5 linked regions of the Oryzias latipes genome follow. The protein of the gene in region 4 interacts with the protein of the main gene of each other region in a biochemical or structural test. Links are inferred from orthologs where the notes say so. Each region holds a gene or a part of one and is shown on either strand. Other genes may lie near its edges.

Evidence for each region.
Region 1: the proteins of wwp2 (region 4) and smad7 are reported together in a solved structure, tested with the Homo sapiens proteins (2 studies listed by BioGRID, with this or other methods). The link is inferred for Oryzias latipes from reciprocal best matches to the Homo sapiens genes WWP2 and SMAD7.
Region 2: the proteins of wwp2 (region 4) and dvl2 form a complex in vitro, tested with the Homo sapiens proteins (2 studies listed by BioGRID, with this or other methods). The link is inferred for Oryzias latipes from reciprocal best matches to the Homo sapiens genes WWP2 and DVL2.
Region 3: the proteins of wwp2 (region 4) and ubiquitin-conjugating enzyme E2 R1 form a complex in vitro, tested with the Homo sapiens proteins (2 studies listed by BioGRID, with this or other methods). The link is inferred for Oryzias latipes from reciprocal best matches to the Homo sapiens genes WWP2 and CDC34.
Region 5: of the proteins of wwp2 (region 4) and mothers against decapentaplegic homolog 3, one has a biochemical effect on the other in vitro, tested with the Homo sapiens proteins (2 studies listed by BioGRID). The link is inferred for Oryzias latipes from reciprocal best matches to the Homo sapiens genes WWP2 and SMAD3.

What each region holds. Positions count from the first base shown.
Region 1 is NC_019870.2:9,759,747-9,763,946, forward strand, and holds the start of smad7 (mothers against decapentaplegic homolog 7), read right to left. Parts: upstream 2,948-4,200; 5' UTR 1,996-2,947; coding exon 1,530-1,995; intron 856-1,529; coding exon 802-855; intron 1-801. UniProt on the Homo sapiens protein: Antagonist of signaling by TGF-beta (transforming growth factor) type 1 receptor superfamily members; has been shown to inhibit TGF-beta (Transforming growth factor) and activin signaling by associating with their receptors thus preventing SMAD2 access.
Region 2 is NC_019876.2:14,943,344-14,947,020, reverse strand, and holds part of dvl2 (segment polarity protein dishevelled homolog DVL-2), read right to left. Parts: intron 800-3,677; coding exon 690-799; intron 499-689; coding exon 369-498; intron 1-368.
Region 3 is NC_019875.2:22,330,421-22,334,825, reverse strand, and holds the start of ubiquitin-conjugating enzyme E2 R1, read right to left. Parts: upstream 2,950-4,405; 5' UTR 2,343-2,949; coding exon 2,157-2,342; intron 2,074-2,156; coding exon 1,987-2,073; intron 1,902-1,986; coding exon 1,804-1,901; intron 1-1,803. Other genes in the region: cactin, read left to right, coding at 3,515-3,786, 4,142-4,405. UniProt on the Homo sapiens protein: E2 ubiquitin-conjugating enzyme that accepts ubiquitin from an E1 ubiquitin-activating protein, and catalyzes its covalent attachment to other proteins by an E3 ubiquitin-protein ligase complex. In vitro catalyzes 'Lys-48'-linked polyubiquitination.
Region 4 is NC_019864.2:27,459,069-27,463,461, forward strand, and holds the start of wwp2 (NEDD4-like E3 ubiquitin-protein ligase WWP2), read left to right. Parts: upstream 1-1,544; 5' UTR 1,545-1,644; intron 1,645-3,590; 5' UTR 3,591-3,602; coding exon 3,603-3,672; intron 3,673-4,393. UniProt on the Homo sapiens protein: E3 ubiquitin-protein ligase which accepts ubiquitin from an E2 ubiquitin-conjugating enzyme in the form of a thioester and then directly transfers the ubiquitin to targeted substrates.
Region 5 is NC_019861.2:12,626,324-12,628,711, reverse strand, and holds part of mothers against decapentaplegic homolog 3, read left to right. Parts: intron 1-1,766; coding exon 1,767-1,890; 3' UTR 1,891-2,388. UniProt on the Homo sapiens protein: Receptor-regulated SMAD (R-SMAD) that is an intracellular signal transducer and transcriptional modulator activated by TGF-beta (transforming growth factor) and activin type 1 receptor kinases.

The sequences.
Region 1 (4,200 bases), on a different chromosome or scaffold from region 4:
AGAGAGCGAAGAGGAAGGAGGGGGGCTATGAAGAACCGCAGCTGCAGCTGCAATTACTTCCTATTGTTTCCACTCACTGAAAGCCACTTTCTCCTTCTTCTGACTAACTGGCTGGCTGACAGTTGGCTGTTTAACTCCGGGCTGTTTCTGCGCCCATGGAGGCTGAGATGATCAGAAATAAGAGATAATTAAAGACGAGGGTTTGGTCTTCAAAGCGGATGTAACCCATGACGATGCTGTGGCCTGCTGCCACACGGGGGCCCGGGTCAAGTCAGAAAACAAGTGTTGGGTGGTGGTGGTGGTGGAGGGGGGGGGCAATCACTTTGAGTGGAGAAAAGACCCCCCTCCCTCCCAAACACACACCGCAAACCCCACTCTTAATCTACTGATCATTCCATCTGATAAAGGCTGACTGGCTCCAGACTCTGTTGTCTGTCTCTCTCAGCACTGTGGTTCACAATAGATAGATGGACAGACCACCCCCCCAACCCCACCCCCAACTCAGACATGCACACAAGCCCTGGTGACATGCCAGTCAGTCCATAGCTGGTATCTCAACTTCGTATTGCCTTGCCCTGGCTGCTAGCCACATTAGAATTGGCCAGCCAGCCAGGCGTGTCACTCTGCCCCCCCCCCACACACACACAACTCCCCATAAATCACAACACCATTTCCTGCAGAGGACACCAACGTGAAGTGCAGCTCATGACATCACTTCAAACATGCATATTATTGCACAAACAAACAAACAAAAAGCAATGACTTAGGAAATATCCATGTGAAATGATGCATCAAGCTCACCTGGTGGTTTCAAATAGTCCATGGGATATCGCGAATAAGGAGGAGGAGGAGACTCTGTGTGGAGGAGGAGGGGGGGAAAGAAAAAAAACTGCATGAGAAAAGAAGAGGAAGAAAAAAAACACAAAGGAGAGATCTGAACTTTCTGATAAGAGTTGTCATTCTTCAGGGGAGGGCTGATTTGTGCCTGTCAGCTCCGCCTGGAGAAGCAGGCAGTGAGGCTGGCCGGGCGGCTATTGCCTTTCATTGGCAGGCAGATAAACAGGGGGCCGCCTGGCGCCAGAAGGGCCACTATCAGCGTCTAGGACAAACTGAGATACGGGCCTCTTTTGGCCCGGGACGCCAAGCAAGCACACACACACATAAACACACACATTTCAAGACTGGAGAGTCTTTCTGTACTTTGGATGCCAATTATGAAATGTTGAAATTCTTAACAGGGGTGTTTGGAAATCTGAAACCGCGACAATGCGTATAGCTGAGGAGGATTTGAGTTTTGGAAAAAAAAAATCAAATGGAACAATTAATTAAAGTAGGTTTCTATTCAAACTCGACCACCAAACCTGCTAAAAGGATCTGGCACAGCTTCAGATCAATGGAACCTGAAGACCACTGTGCCAGAGAGGTGTTGTCATTAGAATTAGGTTAATTGGCACAGTCTTTTTCAGCCTTCTCTCCACCTAGGACCTCATTTTTTTGGAGTTTTTTTTAGTGAAAATATTGAAGCTCACCGAGTTCACAGAGCCTGCTCATGTGGTGAGGGTTGCAGCAAACGAGCTCGGGGTTGGCTTTCCCGTAAGATTCACAGCACGACAGCCTCTTCAGCTCCGAGGAATGCCTGAGGTCCGGCCACCTGAACACTTTGTAGAGCAGCATGGGGAGGGAGTAAGACTGTTGACCCACTTTGGCGTCCACTTTGCTGGGCAGGAGAAGGCAGGGGCTCCGGACGCCCCCCTTGGACTCCACCGCCTGCAAAAGCACCTCTAATTGTTTTTCTTTGATCTTTTTCAGTACCGAGTGGGTCAACGCCTTCAATTCGGCCTCCGACCCCGCGTTGGACTTGGCCACTTTTGTCGCTTTGCCCATGCAGCAGCCCCCGGAGCCATGCGTCCCTCTATCCGTCTCCCCGTCGCCCTCCACGGGCGCACGGCTCCTCCAGAGTCGCCGGACGAGCCCCGATCGTTTGGTCCTAAACATGCGGGACGAAAAGAGGGTTTCCCGGCTAAAAAACGAGCATGGTGTCCGCAAATCATGAAGATTCCGGGATCCGAGTCCAGGCAATGACAAGCAGCCTGAGAGAAAACGGTGGAAAAACTGGGAGCTGGAGAAGCAGAGGAAATCTATAGCATGCGCCAGTCTCTGAAGCTGTTTTTCCTGCAGAAAGGTCACCAGAAAGCGCTCGAGGTTGGCGGGACAGCCAACGTTTCCACGATCAGAATACAAAAAAAAAAAAAGATCACATCTATGAGCTTAGAAACACCAAACCGGAGCAGGAAACCTGCAGCAGCGGAGCTGCGTGAAGCCCGAATGCGTTACAGTTTTGTGCAATCCGGCGCTGTGAACTGACCCCTTTAAAAAAACGCCGTGACGGTTTACAGCGGGGGGAAAAACGCTGTCAGAAATGTTTATTCAAGTCACAACTAACTGGTACTTATAAGAAAAACCTAAGGCCTAATTAAGCCTCAACGCTGGCGCAATCATCCCATGAAAAAGCGAAGCTCTCCGCCGCGTCTTGAGTAGCATAATCCACAAAATCCTTCATCCGAGCGCACGAACTGGGGCTCCCCACCTTTAAATGTATATTTTAGTATGTAGTGGATGAGGTCTTCTGGTAAAATAGTGAGCCAAGGAGAAAAAAATCCAGGTCTCCCACCGGAGTTGAGTCGCGTTTGTAAAGCCACAGCAAGACCCTCCGTTTTTCTTTTTCTTTTTTGCGTCCACGCAGCGAGCCTGCTTTTAGCAATCCCTCCAGATAAAATAATCCAAAATCGTATCTCTCACGGAGTTTCCGTGGCTGAGCGTGGAGGAAAGCGAGCAGACAGCTGATCTGGTCCGGGCTAAAGGGCTCTCTGTCTGTAAATGAGGCGGATGGTTTGGGTGCCCTTGCTCCGTCTCCAGTCTCCAGTGCGCATTGACGCGCCCGGTCACGTGTGTGTCTAGACACCCTGTCGCTTAAAAGAAATGTGATTGTGTTGCGCAAACAACAGATCAAGTAGAGCCCACGGTGCACACACACACACAAGCGCGCGCGCGCACTTAGAAAACACAAATGAGAAAGTTTACGCCACAAAAGTTTAATATTTGCAGAAAAAAGAACAACATTAAAAAAATTTCTCAGTTAAATTATTTAGTAAATCTGCAGATTTTTTGGTTTGCTTTCAGTCCTAAAATAATGTTTATATATATATATATATATATATATATATATATATATATATATATATATATATATATATATATATATATATATATATATATATATATATATTCAATCATTAATTTCACGCTTGTACTGAATAAGCAGTAAATACGTGTTTCATCGTTAAAGCTATGAATCAGTTTAATATATCTTCATAGCTTTTCGCCACTGTTGCCATGGTGATCACACAGGGCAGTTTTATTGTTTTGGAGAGTTTATGGCTGGAGTTGAATTTAGGAAGTGAGCCACAGTGCTGACTCCTTCGGGGGAGCTCGTTGCTGCCCCCCATCGGACATGTTCGGTACTACACACACAAAGAGTTCCCACCCATCTTTATTTATCCAGCAGATCAATCCATCAGCTGAGGATCAAATTTGTCTTTTCTTGTCTTTTTAACATGTGCCAGCCTTCCTTCTGTGTCATTGCCCTCATGGAATCCATATTAATTATAACAGACTTATATATGTCTGGAATTTAGCTCAATGTTGGTGCCAAAAATGTACAAATACAGCTTGATGGGGAACACTCACTGTGATGTCTCACTTCAAACCCAATAAATTTAACACGTTTTAGGAGAAATTGTTCTTTTAAACAGAAATGAACCGTTTCTGGTCTGCAGACTTCCCTCGACAGACAGTAGTCCCGGGGAGGAGATGCAGTCAGCAGTATGTTAATATGACAGAGTTGCTGCAGGGCATGGGGGTGGGCGGCAGATAATGATGGTGGCAGAGATGTGTGGGGTTGAGGAGGGGTGTGTGTGCATGCGTGGAGGAGATGGAGAAAGATGGGGGAGGAGGTGGGGTGTGTGTGTGTATGTGTGTGTGTGGGGGGGGGGGGGGGTATCAGTCGTTTATCCCCCCCGTATTGTTCCCCCGGATCCCCAACTGGCGCCGAGGAGGAGCGCGCCACTGCAGCCCCAAACCGAGCAGAGGGACTGCGGCGCGTTCCTGGAGGAGTCTGGAAGCAATCAGTCAGGGGTGGGG
Region 2 (3,677 bases), on a different chromosome or scaffold from region 4:
AACCATGCAGACTAGTACAACAACCTTTAAAAATGATTCAATATTCTTATTATCAACCATATTTCTAATGCAATAAAAGATATGACATCTCATCTATTGTGACTATAATTAGATGCACTGAAAGTGATTGCAGTGAGTTGCTGTTCAAAAATGGATGAAATTGCTCACAAAATGCAGTCAAATCAGTTTTAGTTCCCTTTTTTGGAGCATTTACATTTAGTAACTGACTGGAAGAAAAGGTTTAAAGCCTTTCTTGAGGAAATTTTAGAACCTTTTTTTTGTAAATCAGTTTTTACAGAAGCCACATGTGGTTCTATAAAGATAAAGGGTTAATGGGTTAAAAGACTCCGCCCCCTTTAGTTTCCTACCTGCTCATGGTGTCGTCATCCTCAGAGTCGCAGAAACTGGTGGTTTCCAGCTCGCTGCTCATCACCGTGCTGGAGCTCTCGTACCCCGCCAGGTGGCGCTCCAACCGGCTCTGACCGTTCATGCGAGAACCTTAAACAGGAGATCAGAAGAAAAGAACCATCATGTTTGCTCCCTTTAGTCTTTACAGATATTTCGTCATGTCATTTAGGTTAAGTTTCTCATCCCAAACTGGATGAAACGCAAATAAACAAGCAGCGCAGCGTCAAATCTGGACAGGACAGCGGCGGGAAGGCCTGTTGGGATGCGGCGCCGGCGCTCACCGTGTGGATCCAGGCTCTCCCGGTGGCGAGGCCTCTCCCTCCTGAAGGAAACAACAGACTCCGTTTCCGTCTGCTCATCCAAAGTCTCTACGCTGCCCGTAGCATTGGGGCTGAAGAAGAAAGAAAAAGACAAAACGTATTTACCAACAGGAAAAAATATCCTTTGCATCTCAAAATAAAATGAATTAGTCCCAATTAGGCGATGAAATAGTCTTCCGCCTTTATTGTGTAACTTCTGCTCAGTTTTTGTCACAGGCAGAGATCCGGTTTCTTCTCACTTCAATGAAAAGTTTTTCAGTTAAAAACCCAAAGACTCGATATCCTTTTACTAAACGATCCTTCTTCCAGAAACCGCGTGAAAGCGAGACGTTCGGGAGTCTCTGGAGAGTGTCCAATAACTCCACTGGCGGCTGAATTTTAGGGAACGTTTCACACACGAGGTGACCAGGAAAACAAAAGCTGCAGGCAGTCTGAAACTCTGTTTGGCTTAAAATGATTGGATGCCTCCATAAACTGTAATGAATGAAACCTTTAAAACATGAGAGCTTCTCATCTATCAAACCCCGCAGCAGAAACACTCTAGATTTCAACTTCAAAAAAAAAGAATGATGTAAAAAACAAACCCAAAACCCATGACTTATCTGCCCTCAATTGAACTATGAGTTACTGCAAGAAACAAAATATTTTTTTCCAGTTTGCGTAAAATAAGCAACTTAGTGCGAAGCTTTTGGGAAAACAGAGATTGCTCCACGTTCATCGAGTCAGGAGTTTTTAAGGTGACTCGTGAGAGAAAAATACACAAAGCCTGAAGTCAAATAATGAAGCTGAAACGTTTCCAGATGAAGCGGGGGGGGGGGGGGGGGGTGAGTCAGAGCACAGCCTCCAAAAGTTGCCTTAAGAAACTAAAACAGTTCTTTAAGATGGAGAAGAGAACAGGAATCATCCTGATGATGGAGCGTAAAAACACATTTTATTGTTCCTTACCCATTTTTTAGTGCTGTCTGAATCAACAATTCCAAAATCCAGTGCCCTAGAAACGTCCCAGAAGTCTCTGTGAAAAGCCAGTGTGCATTGATGCTCACTAGATTGGCAATTATAGACCACAATGCCTTTTTTGCAAAGAATAATGTATTTTAATGATTTTTTTAACCAAGTTTTTATCATCAAAACACTGTCATGTGATGTTTATGTCAAAGGGCCTATACCATGCTATTCTTAAGCCTTTTATAGTAAAACATATCCATATTTATAATCACCTTTGGCCCACAAAAGAACACATTTTTTCTTAAATATTAGTTATTTTCCTGAGTTCTGCTCCAACCCAGAACTAAAACGACTCAATCTCTGAGGCACCGCATTTCGCTCCTTGTGGGTGCCGCCCGTTTCATGGCATCACTGTAAAGTTGGCCCCTGCAGCGTGTCTGCGTCTCACCCACAAAAACAAACAACATCTGAACTTTTGCAAAGGTGGATGTGCATAATGATCTTATAAAAGGACAGTCTGTGCAGCTGTGCATCATGGCTTCCTAAGTCCGGTAACATTTCCCAGTGAAGGTTCAAATGCATGACACACAACAGAGGTATGCAATGCACAACAAGCCGCGTTTGCATCTACAGTGGTGGACAAAATTGTTGGGACCCCTCAGTTAAAGAAAGAAAGAAAGTCCACAATGCTCACTGACATGACTTGAAACGTTCAAAAGAAACAATAAATTAAAATTTATTGAAAATTAAATAATCACAATAAGCTTTTACTTTTAAGTTGTTGATTAACAGAATTATTTAAAAAAAATAGGGCTGCACAAAGATGATGGTATCTCCATAACTTAATATTTTGTTGCATAACCTTTTGAGGCAATCACTGCAATTAAACAGTTTCTGTAATTGCCAATGAGCCTTCTGCACCTGTCTACAGGGATTTTGGCCCACTCCTCATGAGCAAACTGCTCCAGTTGTCTCAGGTTTGACGGGTGTCTTCTCCAAATGGCATGTTTCAGCTCCTTCCACAAAGGTTCAATGGGATTTAGATCTGGGCTCATAGAAGGCCACTTCAGAATAGTCCAATGCTTTTCTCTTAGCCATTCTTGGGGGTTTTTGGCTGTGTGTTTTGGATCGTTGTCCTGTTGGAAGACCCATGACCTGTGACTGAGACCAAGCTTTCTGACACTAGGCAGCACATTTCTACCCAGAATGCCTTGATGATCTTGAGATTTCCTTTTACCTTGCACAACTCCAAGACACCCTGTGCAGATGCAGCAAAGCAGCCCCAAAACATAACTGAGCCTCCTCCATGTTTCTTAGTAGGGACAGTGTTCTTTTCGTTCTATGCTTCATTTTTGAGTTTACGAACATAGAACTGATGTGCCGTACCAAAAAGCTCCAGTTTTGTCTCATCTGTCCAACATTTTCCCAGAAGCTTTGTGGCTTGTCAACATGCATTTCTGCAAATTCCAGTCTCCCTTTTTTGATCTAGGAGATCCCCTTTAAAGTCTTTGGAGGTTTTCTGGGCTCTTTGGATCCAGTTCATACTATCCGTCTCCTCAATTTGTCATCAATTTTCCTCTTCCGGCCACGTCCAGGGAGGTTGGCTACTGTCCCGTGGGTCTTAAACTTCTGAATAATATGTGCCACTGTCGTCACAGGAACTTCAAGCTGCTTAGAGATGGTTTTCTGGCCTTCCCCTTTACAATGTTTGTCTATAATTTTGTTTCTAATGTCCTGGGACAATTCTCTCCTTGGCTTTCTGTTGTCCATGTTCAGTGTGGTTCACACCTTTTTACCAAACAGCAACGTGACTATTTGTCTCCCTTTGAATAGGCAGACTGACTGATTATGGGTTTGAAAACAGCTGTGATGTCAATTAAAGGACACACCTGAGTTCATCATGACCCCCTGGGCAATTAGTTCTCAGTCTTTTACGGAGGTACCATCATTTTTGTCCAGCCATATTTCATTAGTTTGTTTTTTTAAATACTTCTGTTAATCAAT
Region 3 (4,405 bases), on a different chromosome or scaffold from region 4:
ATTTTTGCTAGACTTCTGCAGAAGGAGAATCAGTCTGTGACGGCGTGAACTGTCACCGAAGAGTTCTGCCATCCTAGTGCATGAAGCCTTCTTTTATTGAAAGCTGAAGGTTGCAGACATGAATGTGGATCATTTAATCAGAAACACCAGGAACATCATATTCTCGCATAATCAGAACTTTTTAGGTCATTGTTTTCTTACTGAAAGATAAATGTGACACAACCATATTATGGAGATTATAGCGTGTAAGCAAATGATAATTACATAACTCCAACATCAATGAATTTTTATTTTGTAGGAACAAAATCCTAATTCACAGGAACCATTTCATTCTTTGTTTACCCATGTCAGGTCACGGTAAATTATTCTAAAAAAATTGCTGTAATAACTATCAATAGAAAAAATTAAGGTGCCTGTTAAAACAGCTGAAACAAGTTTGAGTACTTACATCTTTTTGTGGAACTTTTTAATGTTGTTGCAAAACTCTGATGCAAAAAAAGGTTCAATTTAACCATTTAATTCTACAATCTTGGTACTAACGTTTTTAATAATCCAGGATAAAATATTCCTAATTGATTGTATTACTTCATTACAATAGAAGCAGGGATTATTCTACAAGAAATTTTAACGCATAAGAAGATTATTGAGTGTGCAGAGCAGTGTGAAGGTGGAATATGACCCCTGCTGCTAATGTGATTAATGGCATGTGTGGTCTCAACTCAAGTCCACAATTCCAGGTCTATAAAGTCCACTCATCTTTTGATTTATTTTCAAAGTATTCCTAGTGGTCTTTTAATTATGTTTATGCGTGTATTAGCCATAATCCAAAAACCTGTGTACTTTTTTTTAAGACATAGTTTCTGCAGAGCGGCAGTACATTAGAAATTCACCTCTGAGATGTGGGACCGTTGGTGCATAGCAACCCAACCCCCCCCCTTCCCATCATCCCTTTGTCTACACTCTCTCCTGCTAGCTTACAGCCCTTTACAAGCCAAACCAAGCATTAACAGTGCGACAAAAATACTGAGCAATATCAGAGCTATCCAGTTGTACAGTTTTGAGTGAGATGCCAGCTCGGATGAGGAAAATAAAGATGCATATGGATCTAGGCATGGGAGAGTTGTGGAAAAGGAGTGGTATGTCTTGTGTATGCAAAGGTTTTTATTTGTACCTATAGTCTCAAAAACTGCTCTGATGTTCATAAAAGTCACAAAAACCAAAGTTATTGTAATAATTTAAAACTATACAGCAGCAGTCCATCCGTAAGGGGCCAAGAGGATCTCAAATATGGGGTTCTGTTTGAGCTAAAAAATATGTTTTTGCGTCCACTGTCTATGTCTACTGAACAAGTTTATTGAACATTGGTTCATGTCTATGTAATACTAAGCAGTATCTTCTGCGTGCCCCGTGCTTGTTTGATTATTACAATGCATTTGCTTTCTGACGGCTTTGGCAAAATTTGACAAGCGACGCGACATGGGAAAACGACGTACCTAACGACACTAGCAACGGTTGCTAAGGGCTTTCCTGACAACGTAGTGAGGCGATATGGGGAAAGTAATAATCAAAGAAGCATGGGCACGCAGACGATATTGCTTTGTAGTACATAGACATGAACCAATGTTCAATAAACTCGCTCAGTACACATAGACAATTGACCAAAAGACACAGACAAAAACATATTTTTGGCACAAACAGAAACCCCATACTCACAGGACTCTACTTCAAATAAATTATTAAAGTAACCAAAAAACAAAGAAGGGAGGAGACCAGAGAGGAGATAAGAGTGAGGGATCTGCTGACCGGACATTCTGGGTGGGGTTCCATCTCTCTGAGGGCAGCTCTCCACTCTGTGGGTCATCCACTGGTGGATGCAGAATAGAAATGCACACGTCTCCATTCTAAAAGAGTGGAAAGAAGGTCATTTGCTGCAGCCACAACACAAATAAAACACAATATTACACTGTAGTCATTGTGATACAACACCTCATAGATGTTGGGATGCCACATTTTGGTGAGGAAGCGAAATGTTGGTGGGGAGTATGGATAGTCTATAGGAAACTTGATGCGAGCCTAAAAGAAGAAATCCATTTGTTGTATTTGTCTTATCGTTTGAGTTTAGCTCATTATATTTTCTTGCCATTTTCACTTCTTACCTTAAAGTACCCCCCTTCATAATGAGTGTTTGGTGGTCCAAAAATGGCCACTTCCCAGTTGTATAAATCAGCTTCGTCCACGAGAGTGATTTTGAATCCCTCCACAGGCTCCTCCTGGAGGCTCTTCATCTCCAGCATGAGAGCTTTCTGTGAGCTGGCGACATGAGAGGAGTCGTGTTGCGCCATTCTGCTTCGTTTGGTTTTTTGAGGGGATCTTAATTCGACAGCCGATGCTTCTGTTTACGAAGCTAAGTTTGATATAAAACAGTCGAGCGACCCACAACAAGTTCTGCGTTTTCTACCTCCAAAAACAATAAACACAGGCCGAACCTATGGCTATAATGCTGATGTGCACAAGCCAAACAATACCTTCTCTGCTCTAAGATCCCAATAACAACGTGGGAATATCAACACTCACAACGGCTGAGTTAACCGAGACATTATAACCTACCAGCACCTAAAGATTTAGTCAATTTACCAGGTTAACCGCGCATATAAGCCGTAAATCTAATGGTTGCTGCTGGCTAATGTGGCTAATCAGAGTTACCGACCAGCCGTAGCCGATGATCTCAGCACAGAAACAACACTTACTGCACTTTAGGAAGCGAGACGCGTTTTCTAATTTAAAGAGGTACTAAACTACAACGCTGAAGACACTAGCAACAAAGTACGTTTGTGCTGCCATCTGAGAACACGATTAGGAAAGACTGTTGCTGAAAGGACTCCCCTGCACTCTGAAAACAGCCAACTCCCTCTGGTGTATGGGATTTGTAGTTCGGTTTTGTGCATTTTATCATTAGAAAACACCTTTCCTGTATTTAAGACAGAGTATGCGGAAAATATAAGCACTTATAATTATTTTACCTATAGAAAGAACGTTTAGCTTGACCAAAGTATTACTTTTGTTATCGAAAATGTTTTCAGAGGGAAAAATGAACTACATTCGCCTGACTTCGTAAGGACCCCAAGTGTTTTTCTTCTTGTTCAACAACTATTCAAAATGTTTTGCTCATTTGTGGGGGAAAAAACATTCAAGTTGCTTTATTATTATTTGTTCGAAATGTTTTGTGTAGTTAAAACAAACAAAAAAAAATTAAATAATTTTTGCTATTTGAAATACTTGCCAATAATACTCGCTAACATGACGTCATATTCGTGCGCACTGTGGATTTTTTTTGACCGTATTAATGTTTTTAAGTTTTATAAAATAACATATTAAACAACAATTAATAGTTTGTAGCATTGACAGTTGCAACTTTTGTGCAATATTTATTTTTCATTGTAAACGGTTTCAAGCTATTACCTCTTATTTACGCGACACAGTGCCTTTCGGACCCCGCACTGTTAGCAAGTTCGTAATGGGATCCAAATCTCGACGTAGGTCCCGGTCAAAATCAAGAAGCGGGAGCCGAAATCGGCGAAATAAATCCAGAGAGAGCCGCTCTAGATCACATGACAGAAGAAGAGGTCGCGGCAAATCTGTGGAAAAACGAAAAAGCGGCCCAGGAAGATCCAGCAGCAGCGATGCTGGGTCTCCTTCCCGAGGGCGGCCTCGACATCGACGTCGCTCTGGACCCAGTAGTGGCTCCGAGAGCGACAGGCGAAATAAATCGAAGGGCCGATCATCAAGGTGAGCTGGACATATCAAATATAATATATAGTGGCAACAATTTTTCATTAACATTTAAAAATGATTTTCATCGACACATAAATTAACATTCTAACAAAAAACTCCAAAACAGTATCTAGTTAACTGTTTATTCTATGTTATTATATTTTTTATAATCTCCAAAGTTAAGTATTTCCTCTCATGGTATAGTATATATACATAGTTTTTCCTTTGTCACCCCATTACCTGCGTAAACAATTAGTCACAGGGCAGATTACTTGTTGCAGAGGCTTTTAGGTTGTCTGTTGAAACCTGTAACCCATCACTTTTTGAAAGTATTACCTCATTGTTAAGTTATACATATTTTCTGTTTTAGTCCTGATCTAGATGATCCCAAAATAAGGAGGACAAAGGAAGCAGAGCCTCGCAGAGGACGATCTCAAGACCGGAGAAAAAGAAGATCCAAATCCAAGTCATATTCCTCTGATGAAAGCAATGACCGAGAGAGGAGAAAACAAAGAAGTTCTGAGAGGAGGAGTTTGGGCAGAGACGGACACAAGAGGGAATATGACAAAGAGAGATGGAAGAGCAGCAGCAGAGAACGTGAAAGACAACACAGCAGAGACAAAAGTAAGGAGCG
Region 4 (4,393 bases):
TTAGACCCGCATTAGTGCAGCTTTGGCTGAGCTCAGTCAGTCCTTCCTGCTTTCTGCTCTCAGCTCTGTGCTGTGTTTAATGTCTGTATTCATGTCTTTGAACCTGTGGGGGAATTGAAAAGCAGCTGAAAATCCACTTCCTGTTTCAGGAAAAACCCTCAAATGTTAAGAAAATGGTGCACAGACTCACATTAATATCTGTTTTGTTGTTGTCCCAATTTTAAATAAATATGTTTTAAAGACTTTTGTTCTTTCAAATCTGTTTTGTTTCAGTTAAAAACAAAAACAAAGTGAACAACTTTAACATCGAGCAAGAAATTTAAGACTTTAGAAGAACTACTGTTGAAGCTAAAAAATTAATTTTTAATTGGATAAGAAACTAAAAATGTCTCCTATCTAAATGTAATATGTTCTTTACAGCTAAAAAGTTTAATCGTTTTTTAGATAAAAACTTCACACTTGATCCAATTACTTTTTTAGCTGAAACATACTTGGACATTTAGTAAAATACTTCTTCAAATAATGTTTTGAATCAAAGTGTTTCTATCCTAAATGTTCACAATAAGTTTTTGTTTTTTTTGAAGTATTTTTAAAAATGTATTTTAACAAAGACACTGATTTTAAAAAAAAACACCACTTGTTAATGCAATTTTTTAGAGCACAAAATCACTTTTCTACTTTAATTAGAAAATTTGCAGCAGAATGACTTTATTTAATGAAAGTCGGTGGAGCCTGTTTATTGCAGGGATGATGGTTTGTATTAACATTAGTTCAGCTTGTTTATATAAAAGATAAAATATTCACAATCTGTCAGCAGAGGCTATTCTAAGTTGTTAAAGCAAAATTGAATTTATTCTGTGGCAAATCAAAGTATTTTTTTTAGGTTGGTTAGTTTTTAGTTTTGATTTGGTTCAGGATCCATTGAGAGTTTAATGTCAAAAACAAGGAAAAACGTGTGATATCATCAGTCTGTTTGTATCATTAAACTGTCCCTGTGATCGTGTGGCTGTGCAAAAGACCGGCAACACATCTAGTGTGTACCCCTCCCCTTGCCCAGCAGTGGCTGGAACAGGCTCCACTTAATACCCCAAAAGATTAAGTGGGTTCTGAAGGTGGAATCTTTTAAAATGAACTTTATCGACAACTATTGCACATACAATACATCATACAAAACAGGAAACTCCATACCTAGTTTCCATACCAGATTTCTACATTGCACGATTTTAGTCAACCATTTTATGCTTTACCATATGGGGGGGGGGGGGGGGGATTTGTTTTAGTTAAGTAACTTTATTGAATTTTCCAGGAGATTGAAATACAGAAAAAAACAATAGTACTTAAAAAAAAAGAAAATAAAAGGCAAATTTTCTCACATTTTAAATGAAACCAACCCCAACTCAACTTTTTTATTAGTTTAGGATTCCATACTTTTATGCACAGTACCATTTCTTAATGAAAAACGCTGTTTTTTTGTTTGTATATTTACATTTGTGTATGTCACATTTAGCTAAGTCAGTTAGGGGACAATATTCGTAGAGCAAATGCCCCCTCCTCCTCCCTCTGACGTCACTGGATCACGTGGCTTTATCAGTGATGCGGAAATGAAAGTTCACTAGCTACAGCGGCGGAGTACAGCTGAAAAAGGTACAAGAACTTTGCCATAAATGCTTCTGTTTTCTTGTGTCAGTACACCGAGCTGTGTCTAATATTAAGCGGGTTGCTATAGATCTTAATCTGTTTTCACTCTGGTGTATGAAATAGCTATTTTTTCCATGTCCTTTGGTAAAATCCAGCTAACAAGCTTGCGGGCTAACAGTTACCTTCTCACGACAAATGAGCCGTTCCAAACGGAAGTGAAGACAGTTCCCCTTCAAATTAAGCATTAGGGGTGAGAAAGGATTTAAGAAACACATTTTAATTAAAAAAATCAAAGTTTTATTCAAAATGTAGGGTTTATTAAATTACTAGCTTGTGTGTTCTTGAAGTGTTAAAACAAATTAAATTGGAACAAGAAACGCTTAATGCGTAGTAATGTAGTTATGTACTGAAATAACCATAATAATTAAGTCATGTCGTTCTCTTTCTTGTATTTTTATTTTCATATTTTAATAGAAAATACTAAATTATCTTTTTTGGGGGAATTAGAGTAAATAAAGGACTTTTTCTTGGTAAGCTTTTAATTTAAAAATCCTCAACGGAAGTTTGCGTGTTGTCTGCCCAGGATTGACGGTAATACTTTCATATGCCTCAATCATCTGCCTTGTTTGTATTTTGTTAGCAGCAGTCACTCAGGGGTACCATGCAGTGACGATAAATCGGTTGAGCAGAAATGGTTCCGTCTTCATCCGTTTAGGTGAAGCTTTGCCGGGGTCCGGAGGCGCCATTGATCCCCCTGGCCGAACCTTTCCGAGGTTAATTCGCAAGGTTGACGGGAATGCGAGCTTTTGTTGTGTTAGCTCCCCTCGGATTGGCTCTGACTGAGACAGAAGTGGTTGTCAAAACACACAGTTGATTTCTGATTAGGACCAACTTTTATCAAGACTCGCCTTGTCTGAGGCTTCTGACTGTGTGCAGAGGAAATGCAGAGTTTATAGTTATTTACTCTGCAAACAATGACGGAGCATCATCAAGGACGTAGTTGCTTGCAGCAGGGTTAATGCCTGCTGTGCTGCAGATTTGTTCGCACTAATAAACGCTGCAGACTGCATCCCTGCATGACTTTGCTCAAGGTGATGTTGATGAGACTTGGCTGCAGCCTCTGACAGGGAAAACAAAACACTTTCAGGTATATGCTTTTATTTTGTAATGTTTTTTTTAATGACAGGTGGAATCCAATCACAACATAATGACAAACTGTTAGATGAGGTGATTAAAAGGTGGTTCAGGGCCACTGGTTTATAAAATAGTTGCACATTGAAAGACAATAAAACACATTTTTATTAGACTTAGACACTTGTGAATATAAAACAGAACATTTAAAAAGTTTTCTAAATTAGAGATTTTTGTCTATAGTCAAAACAAAATGTAATTTATTTATTTACATTGTTGTTTGTGCAGTTTGCACTCAACCTAACAATAATGCATTTTGGTGGTGAGCTGTGATGTTTGCAGGACACTTGGTCCTTGGCTTTGTCCTCCAGGCGTCACATCTCTGCAGACTTTGCACATTAAATGAGTGAAAAATGCAGGAAGCGTTGGCTCTAAAGGATGAGGCTGCACCCCATGATTTGTTCAAACCTCGATTTTTGGGTCACAGTTTTGTTTTTGGTTTAATTTGTTTTTTACAAAACTATGACAAAAAACCTAAAAATTCTTCTTCTTTTCAGTGCCTTCTGGTCCGTGCAGAAGGCACTTTTAGTTTCATTGTACGTATGACAATAAAGACTTATCTATCAATTTATAAGTAACAATGAAGAAAACAACCTTTCAGTTGGCTTACACTGAGCCTGAAAACAATAAAAAAAGAATCATTCTTAAATTTAGCACGATGATTGAGACTTTCAACGTAAGCATACCTGTATGCAGCAGGGATGCAATGATTCACTTTTTGTGTAGTGTTGTGGTCATTTGTGCGACTGCTTGTGTTGCAGAGCTGGGATGTCATGGCAGCTGCCAGCGTGACCAGACCTGGCAGTGCTCAGAGTACAGAAAAGTCTCAGTTGATCCTGAAAGGTCAGTCTTTTTTATTTTTGATCACCTCTTCATAGACTTTGGGTGATTATTATTAGTATTTTTTTGTAAAACAATATTTCAAATTAAAGTGAAGCCAGATTTATGTTTAAATGTTCATTTGTGGTTTTTAAAGATGGGAGCAGATAATAATTGAAGCTTTATAGAATTTTCCAGTTAATTATTATTATTATTATTATTATTATTATTATTATTATTATTAAGTTTCATATAAATGTCTTCCTTGATCTATTTGGGCAAATATGTGAAGCATACGACAAAAACCTGGAATGTGTCAAAGTTAGACTGAAACACTTGCAGATTAATATTTTCTGCTTTTTTTTTGGAAAAACAACAAACAAAATTTTTACCAGAACATATTATGTTATGGTTACAACTTTTTGGTGGCATATTTGATCAGATAGCCTTAAAAAAATGTAAATTGGTTCATTTTACAAATAATTTTCATGTTTTCTCAAATACATTTTTCATGTTTCTCAGCTAATCTATGTGCTGTAAAAAAAAAATCCAGCAATTATATTAAAAAAAAAAACCCAGAATGTTTCAATTCTTATGCTGCAGCTTAAGATGATTTATTTGATGCCCAATTTTTAACTAATATATAATTGCTTGAGTTTTAGCTGTTTATAAAGATAAGTGAAGTTTAAACTTTCTGGTTTATCAGCTGATGCCTCTTTATTGCTGCATTCTGCTCTATTGTATT
Region 5 (2,388 bases), on a different chromosome or scaffold from region 4:
TACCTTTCTCTGTTTTCACTACAGATCTGCTTTAACTCCTTTGTCCCTCCACGTTTTTGTCATTCAGTTTAAAAACTGCTTCACATGAATGAATACTTTAAAGGAGCCGACATTGGGAAGCATTTGTGTTGTATCCGGTGAGCTGCTGTCCAGTTGATTCCAAAACTTCTGCATCCTTTAGCTTGATGAGACTTTTAACACAGAGCCAGCAGTTTAATCCCTTTGTTCAAATTTTTTTTATTTCTGCCTTAAAAATGTGAAACATCTGGATCCAAACCCTGAATCATCAAAGTTCAATCCCACTGTTCTCGTTATCAGCTCCAGTCTGTCCTGTCCATTCTGAGGTCAGAGAGAACAAAAGAATCGTAAAGATTCAAGAAGGAGAAAGTTTAGAAAAAGAAGCATATCAAATATAAACAGCTATACAGCAAAAAATGTAAAAGACATGAAGATCAGTCCACTTTGAATGTAGCACATTTGACAAAAGACGCTTCAAGATCAAGCTTCAAATCGTATTTTTTGTCTTTCTGCCTTATTGGTCAAAGTACGGCCTCATTTAAAGTCCCACTCCAATCCTCTTTGATCTATTGTAAAAGTATCCCCACTGCTCTTTTAATGAGGATTTTCAGTCAAAAAAAACAAATAAAACATTAGTTCATTAGAAATTTACCTCTGAATTGAGGGCAACCCCATTGGTGCAAAGTAAGCCCGCCCCTATTTCCCGTCATCCATCTGATTACACTTTCTCCCACTAGCTTACAGCCCCAACCGAACATTGCAGATGCAACAAAAACGGGGAGCAATGTTGGAGCAGATAACAGTTCAGACGAGGAAAACAAAGACGTTCATGGATCTATTTGTCTGCAAGTGGATACATCAGAATGGAGCAGAGCAGGGAGCTTGTTGCCCACTAATTATAGCTTGTATGTCACCTCTACAGGCTTTCGCCAACTGTATTTCTGCTCCTAATTCGCCATGATTACAAACACAACACAATTTACATCAGAGTGGGTCTGCCAATAGGTCATTTTGGAACGAAAGTTCTCAGAAATTGCTAAACGTTCTGTTCTTGAACTCTTGTTTAAGTAACCCTGACAGAGGCTGCAGACGCGCTTTGACGTGGAGAAAGAAAATCAACAGTCACGGGTTACAAATCCAGCTGATGTGTGTGGAGGGCTGGCCTACTGGTCACTGACATGAACCCTTGGCTGGTTGGTCATTGGTTCAAGTCCCAATTCTGACTTGAAAAAGTCATAGTAAAGTAAAAAAGCCTTTGCTCCACTGCTGTAATGCCCTTGAGCAAGGCTCTTAAGAGGAGCTGTTCCGTGAACAGAGGTTGACCCGGGTATCTCCCAGGTGAAAAGAGTTCCGTCTCAATGGGTGTCTCTTATATAAATAAAGGGATAAAAAACAGCTTCAGACAGTGACTCTAGTTTTAAGTGTTCTATGAATGTGAAAAACATCTTATCTTGTTTCCATGATCAGATTCAGTGCCAGACAGAACAAAACCTTGCCGTCTTGTTAAAGCAGTTTTATGACGCTGTGCAATAATAATTGCCATAATTCACAGAAAAGTCGAAGCCTCGTCTTACTAAACAGCAGGAAGTTCAGCTGCAGCTCAGAATAGATCCAGTTTGATTGCATATGCCAAATATCAGGGCTAAAATCGATCAGGTGTTTGTTTTTCCAGGACTTGATGTGTTTACTTACAGGCAGAGCGGCTGGTTCTGCATCCTCACCATCTGTTGTCTGTGTGTGCGTCCCAGGCGGCAGACAGTGACCAGCACCCCCTGCTGGATCGAGCTCCACCTGAACGGCCCTCTGCAGTGGCTCGACAAGGTGCTGACACAGATGGGCTCCCCAAGCATCCACTGCTCCAGTGTCTCCTAGGGGGAGCTTCCCTGCCCCCCCCCCCCCCCCCCCCTTTCACGAAACTGAAAACACAGATAGGAAGAGCAGCCCGAGAACTACATGATGACACGCCTCTCATCCAGCCACTGTTTGTCCCTCCTCGCTGCCAGTAGCACTTTTTTTATTTTCTAGTTGCAAAAAGGGGACACGTGCATTAATGCAGTATCAGTTTAGGAGGATCTCAGCATATTGGTCTTTTTTCTTTTTTCTTTTTTTTTTTGAAGGTCATTGTCATTTTTGGCATCTGATAGCCAGAAAGGCAGAATTATTTTTTTATTTCCTGTTTTTTTTTAATGTCTTGTTTATTGTTTATAGCTGTTGGATACATTTTACACTCAATTATCTTTAAAAAACATAGAAAAAATAAATTGTTGACATTTTTATGCGTTGTTGTTCCCTTTAAAACCCATGTAATTATGAACGTTTACTTGACTTTGTTTGTCTTTTTGGGATTTGACTGGTTAGGAAGACTTTAAT